Canis lupus familiaris: one gene and its partner. The protein of the gene in region 1 purifies or fractionates together with the protein of each later gene. This does not show direct contact. Links are inferred from orthologs where the notes say so. Each region holds a gene or a part of one and is shown on either strand. Other genes may lie near its edges. The genes, in order: RANBP6 and ARMCX3.

Region 1 (4,546 bases):
GCCCTGCAGTTAAACTTATTTAAGAAACAGTAGGAAAACCAGTAATCTGGAGAAAGATATAAAATTGTAGTCAAGATCTTGGAATCAGAACCAGAACTAATCTAATCAGGGGTTCTCAAATTTTGGTGTAAAATGAAAACCCAGTATGTTGTTAAAATTAAACATTCTTGGGTTGCATTCCCCAGAAATTCTGCTTCAGTAGTTTAGATCTTGGGCCCTAATATGTATATTTAAAAGTAAGTACCTCAAGTGATTCTGATGCTGTCGGTTTTAAGTCCACAGAATGAGAAACAGTTTAGAGAGTAATACTTCTTCCTAAATGAGTATAGTATTGCATATTACAATGTAATTTATGAGACTGTTTTGTCTATCATCTGGCTAATCTTAAAGCTGGATCTTCTATCTCTGTGGGTATATGCAGTAGCATTTTACAAAATTAAAATTAAGCCCGCTTGGAGAAATTTACAATAGATTTTGCAATAAGTGAAGACCTCTGATCATTTGCAAAACCAAGAGCGATTATGGGGAAGTGGCATGGTGGAAGATCATTGGTGTTCCTTTCAGAAGTGGATTTGATATTCAGCTGTGCCATCTTAGGCAGGTCCCTTAACTTCTCTGAGTTTCTATTAATTACCTAAAATTAGTATTATATCCAGCCTACCAGATTTGCAAACCTGTGTAAGGTTCAAAATTACACAGTGGCAAAGTGCTAATACAAATACGATTTAATCATTGTTAGAGGAATGATCGTTGTTTTTGATTGATTCATCTGCTTAAAGAAATAATATTTAGCTTCAGGGGCATTTGTTTCTTGGAATAATCTCAGCATCTTCCTACTAAAAGGAAAACTGTAAAAGCATTTTAAGTTAGGCAATATACAAAGAAAACCTTGAGTGACATGACCACGGATACAAAATTAATATACAGATAAGACCAGGATTCAAGTCTTCTGATTACTAGCCCAGGTCACTGTCCACTATATTTAGTTGTCTTCCTCATTCTTTATTATCATCCATAGGCCAGGTGATTGACACACTAGAGTTTGAGCACCACTGTTCTTACTCATTAGATGTGGTAGTGGGATGGTAATCATTATCTTTTATCGCACTTACTTGATAAACGGATTTATTGAGGTATTATTATTCATACTATACAATTCACCAGTTTCAATTGTATAATGCAGTGATTTTAAGTATAATCACGGAGTTGTGCAACCATTACCACAATTAATTTTAGAACATTTCATTACTCCAAAAGAAACCCATTACCTGACAGCAGTCATTTTACATTCTCTCGTTCCCACTGCCTCTGGCAACCACTAATCTACTATATAGATTTGCCTTTTCAAGACCTTTACTATAAATGGAATCATACAATATTTGGCCTTTTGTGACTGGCTTTTCACCTGGGGAGTTTTCAAGATGTAATTATCGTTTTAAAATTATCAGGGTAACAACAGTTTAGAAATAAAGCCGGAAAAATCACCCATAATCCCATTCTAATACGTTCAATATCATAATTTTCTTTTTTTTCTCTCTCTCTCTTTCCGCAAGTGCTTTTTTTTTTTTTTTTTAAATCTGATTGGCCAACAGCTGGAGGACGGCGGCCGCCCCCACCGCATCCTGCTATCCCCGGACGCCCGGCGGCCCACCCCCGCCGCGCAGCCAAACCGCCGGCCGCCTGGGCCAGCGGCCCCGCCCATCCCCGCCGGCGCTCCGCTGACGTCACCGCTTCTGGCCGCAGACCCCCTCTTTCCTTCCCGGTCGCGATTTCTCTGACAGAGCGCGATGGCGGCGGCCGTGTCTGCAGGGGGACCGGCTACTGTGTCGGGAAAGCAAGAGTTTTATCAGCTTCTGAAGAACTTGATCAATCCAAGCTGTATGGTGCGGAGGCAGGCAGAGGAAATCTATGAAAATATCCCAGGTCTGTGTAAGACTACATTCCTCTTAGATGCTGTCAGAAATAGAAGAGCAGGTTATGAGGTGAGACAAATGGCTGCCGCACTGCTACGACGGCTTTTGTCCTCTGGGTTTGAGGAAGTCTATCCAAATCTGCCTTCTGATGTTCAGAGGGACGTCAAGATTGAACTGATACTGGCTGTTAAGTTAGAAACACATGCTAGCATGAGGAAAAAACTTTGTGATATTTTTGCAGTGCTGGCCAGGAATTTGATAGATGAGGATGGCACTAACCACTGGCCCGAAGGTCTGAAGTTCCTTATCGATTCAATCTACTCTAAAAATGTAGTTCTATGGGAAGTTGCACTTCATGTTTTCTGGCACTTTCCTGGGATCTTTGGGAACCAAGAGCGGCACGATTTGGATATCATCAAACGGTTGTTGGACCAGTGCATTCAGGATCAAGAACATCCAGCAATCAGGACATTATCTGCTAGAGCTGCAGCTGCATTTGTACTTGCTAATGAGAATAATATTGCTCTTTTCAAAGACTTTTCAGACTTGCTTCCTGGAATCTTACAGGCTGTGAGTGACTCATGCTACCAGGATGATGATTCAGTGCTAGAATCCCTTGTTGAGATTGCAGATACTGTACCTAAATACTTGGGTCCTTATTTAGAAGACACTCTGCAGTTGAGTCTGAAGTTATGTGGAGACTCTAGACTTAGTAATCTGCAACGCCAGCTGGCCCTTGAAATAATAGTGACCTTGTCTGAAACTGCAACCCCAATGTTGAAAAAACATACAAATATAATTGCACAGGCAGTTCCTCATATATTAGCAATGATGGTTGATCTACAAGATGATGAGGACTGGGTAAATGCTGATGAGATGGAAGAAGATGATTTTGACAGCAATGCAGTTGCTGCTGAGAGTGCACTAGACAGACTGGCTTGTGGGCTCGGTGGAAAACTTGTTTTACCAATGACTAAGGAGCACATCATGCAGATGCTTCAGAGCCCTGACTGGAAATATCGACATGCTGGATTAATGGCCTTATCTGCCATTGGAGAAGGATGCCATCAGCAAATGGAATCAATTCTAGATGAAACAGTTAACTCTGTTTTGCTTTTTCTTCAGGATCCTCACCCAAGGGTGAGGGCTGCAGCCTGTACTACGCTTGGACAGATGGCTACAGATTTTGCGCCTAACTTCCAAAAGAAATTCCATGAAACAGTGATTGCAGCTCTGTTGCGTACCATGGAAAATCAAGGTAATCAGCGTGTGCAATCACATGCGGCTTCTGCACTTATTATTTTTATAGAAGACTGCCCCAAAGCATTGCTAGTTCTATATTTGGATAGTATGGTGAGAAATCTACATTCCATCTTGGTGATTAAACTTCAAGAGTTGATTCGGAATGGAACTAAATTGGCCTTGGAACAGCTTGTGACAACCATTGCCTCAGTTGCAGATACAATAGAAGAAAAATTTGTTCCATATTATGATATATTTATGCCATCACTAAAGCACATTGTTGAGCTTGCTATTCAAAAGGAACTCAAGCTTCTGAAAGGAAAAACTATTGAGTGCATTAGCCATGTTGGTCTTGCTGTTGGGAAGGAAAAATTTATGCAAGATGCATCAAATGTGATGCAGCTATTGTTGAAGACACAATCAGACTTAAATAATATGGAAGATGATGACCCTCAGACATCTTACATGGTTTCAGCATGGGCCAGAATGTGTAAAATTCTTGGAAGTGATTTTCAACAGTATCTTCCACTGGTTATTGAGCCTCTCATTAAGACTGCTTCAGCAAAACCTGATGTTGCTCTCTTAGACACACAAGATGTGGAAAATATGAGTGATGATGATGGATGGCAATTTGTAAATCTTGGAGACCAACAAAGTTTTGGAATTAAAACTTCAGGACTTGAAGCAAAAGCAACTGCTTGTCAAATGTTGGTTTACTATGCTAAGGAATTAGGGGAAGGATTTGTGGAATATACAGAACAAGTTGTAAAGCTTATGGTTCCTTTATTGAAATTTTATTTCCATGACAATGTTCGAGTGGCAGCAGCAGAGTCTATGCCTTTTCTCCTGGAATGTGCAAGAATTCGTGGCCCAGAGTATCTTGCACAGATGTGGCAATTCATATGTGATCCTTTAATCAAGGCTATTGGGACTGAACCTGATACAGATGTACTCTCAGAAGTAATGAATTCTTTTGCAAAATCCATTGAAGTAATGGGAGATGGGTGCCTTAATGATGAACACTTGGAAGAACTAGGAGAAATACTGAAAGCAAAACTTGAAGGGCATTTTAAAAACCAAGAATTGAGACAGGTTAAAAGACAGGAAGAAAACTATGACCAACAGGTTGAAATGTCTCTACAAGATGAGGATGAATGTGATGTTTATATTCTGACCAAAGTATCAGATATTTTGCACTCATTATTTAGTACTTATAAGGAAAAGATTTTACCGTGGTTTGAACAGCTGCTTCCATTAATTGTAAATCTAATTTGTTCAAGTAGGCCATGGCCAGACAGACAGTGGGGATTGTGCATTTTTGATGATATTATAGAGCACTGCAGTCCAACCTCATTTAAATATGTAGAATATTTTAGGTGGCCAATGCTACT
Region 2 (2,529 bases), on another chromosome or scaffold:
GTCATATTCGAGAACATAAATGACAATTTTAAATGTGAAGAAACTGAACCTGCTCAGGATCAATTCAGCGAAGGTTCACTGTTTTTCTTTTTAAAAGAATTTCAAGGGTGTGCTGACAAGATTCTGGGGATAGAAAGTCACCATGATTTTTTGGTGAAAGTAAAAGTTGGAAAATTCATGGCCAAACTGGCTGAGCGTATGTTCCCAAAGAGCCAGGAATGACTTCTTGATTTTGTAGTTTAGAAGCAACACACATTGTAAACTATTCCTTTTCTCCACCTTGTTTATATGGTAAAGGAATCCTTTTAGCTGCCAATTTTGAGTGATGAATATCATTGTATCATCAATGCTGAGTTGGTTTTCAAGTCTAAACTGGGTGAATGAATATCACTACCTATTCTGAAAATATGTTTGTTGCTTTTTATCTCATTGCCTAGATTGAAATATTTTTACTATTTCTTTTGCGTGACAGTGAACCGGTCGGTCATAAGTAAGCTCCCTCCTGTCATTTGCATTAACTTCGTGTATCATCAATAAACTTGTGTGTTAATGCCGAAAAAAAAGAAAGAAAAAAGAAAGAAAGCATTCATGTCCTTGGTTTATAATCTAGTTGGAGAGATAAGAAATATACAAACAAAAAGATAACAATATCTGGAGCATATGCTCATTGTCAAATGTGTGCTCTCAGAGCATAGAGGAAGCAAAGGCTTCTGTGGGATATAATAGCTACAAACTTCTGGAGGAAGCAACCATCGAAAATGAGTCCTGACTGGGTTAGGTAGTTAGGCTTTCCAAAAGCAAGAGTGAAGGGGCGTTAGAGGTAGGAGGCATAGAAGTAGGACGCCTTTTCCTATGACTGGGAGGAGATTAGTCACCTTAGAGTGGAGAGCGTGGGGATTGGAAGTAAATAAATTTGGAAAGCTGAGTGAAGCCAGTTTGTAGAGAGCTGTTTGCATATTATCCCACTGAACACAAAGAGCCAGGAAATATTTTTGACTAAAAAGAATAATTGGAATTCATATTGAGGTCTCTCGCTCACCAGCTATGCAGTGTCCGCAAAGGTGTGGAAACATGGATCCTACCAAACCCTGGTTGTAGGAATGAGTTTACACTGAGTTTGCACAGGTTTGTGGAGGGCCATTTGATAATACATATAAGCCTTAAAGCATGTAAAAACCCTTTGTCCTAAGGAAATAATTGAGTAATTGGCTAAAGACTGTATGTACAAGGCTCTTCATCCCAGCATTGTCTGAAACAGTAAGAATTGGAAGTAACCTAAGTGTAGCACACTGAATTTGTTAAATAAGTTAAGGAATGTTCACATGGTATATATGATAAATATGTCGATTCAAATCCATATTGCCCGGAGAAGATATTCATTCTGCATTGTTAAATGAGAAAGGTAGGTTAGATAGCAGTGTTCATAGAATGATTCTATTTCTTTTTCAAAGATAGTAAAACATATATTGAAGTAGACATTAACAACTGTGGAATTAAAAAAAAAAAACTGTGGAATTATAAATATCCAAACAGTAACTGGTATATTTGAGTGGAAGGATAATGAATGATCTTTACCATTTTACTTTTTATTCATTTATGTATTCTCATTTATATGAAATGAATATTGTTTTTTTGGAAATTTTTGTAAAAGAAAGTGTTGGGAATGAAGCAGGTGATTGGAGCATGTACTGAGTAGAAAACAATTTAGATTAAAAATGAGATAGGTTGAAGCTTCCTCTCTGAAATGATAGACGAGTGATGAAGATGGGGCTTGTCATGAAGATTAAGTTAAATAATACATGCAAAATACTTAGAATGTCCTGGCACAGAGCAGTTAATTAAGAAAAATGAGCACCCTTAACTCCCTAGAATGTAGGGTTGATGGTTTTTTTTGGTTGACCTTTGTTTTGCTGGGGGCATTCTGCCGTGTGTCAGTGTCATTTAGTAAATAATAACAATAAAGGTTAGCATTTATTAAGTGACTAGTGTGTAGAGTTCTGTCATTCCTGCAAGACAACTGTTAAAATAACTTCTCAAAGGAATAAGGTTTTCTTACTTCCAAGGACTCAGTATTTCCTCAGACATGATCCCACCAACCTCTACAACATATTCCTAGTGAGATCAGGAAAGGGTAAAATCCTCTGTTCAGTTACCATCTGCTTCCAGCCCCAGGCTTCCATATACCTATCTTAATGTTGTCTATATTAGATAAAAGGATCAGAAACTGATTGGCTTAAAGTCATTGCATATGGTGACCCTATTGAATCACATACTAGTGGAGACTCATTTGACACTAGTTTCATGGGTGGGCACTGGAAAAGGCAACTAACATTTTTCTTGCTCTATTATTAGGTAGGAGAAAGAGATTTGGGAGGGGAAGGCTAATCCACTTAAAATAAACTGAGTTTGAGGTATCTATGTGACATCCAGATGGAGACAGCCTATTGTCATTTGAATGTATTCAGCTGGCACTCAGAGGGAAAAAAAAGATTTGAGGGCCACCAGAGGATGAATGGTAATTGAGGACAT

Evidence for each region.
Region 2: the proteins of RANBP6 (region 1) and ARMCX3 purify together in Homo sapiens (co-immunoprecipitation; 3 studies listed by BioGRID and IntAct, counting the BioPlex papers as one, with this or other methods). This does not show direct contact. The link is inferred for Canis lupus familiaris from reciprocal best matches to the Homo sapiens genes RANBP6 and ARMCX3.

What each region holds. Positions count from the first base shown.
Region 1 is NC_049232.1:27,101,258-27,105,803, reverse strand, and holds the start of RANBP6 (ran-binding protein 6), read left to right. Parts: upstream 1-1,732; 5' UTR 1,733-1,787; coding exon 1,788-4,546. UniProt on the Homo sapiens protein: May function in nuclear protein import as nuclear transport receptor.
Region 2 is NC_049260.1:75,896,004-75,898,532, forward strand, and holds part of ARMCX3 (armadillo repeat-containing X-linked protein 3), read left to right. Parts: coding exon 1-222; 3' UTR 223-2,529. UniProt on the Homo sapiens protein: Regulates mitochondrial aggregation and transport in axons in living neurons. May link mitochondria to the TRAK2-kinesin motor complex via its interaction with Miro and TRAK2.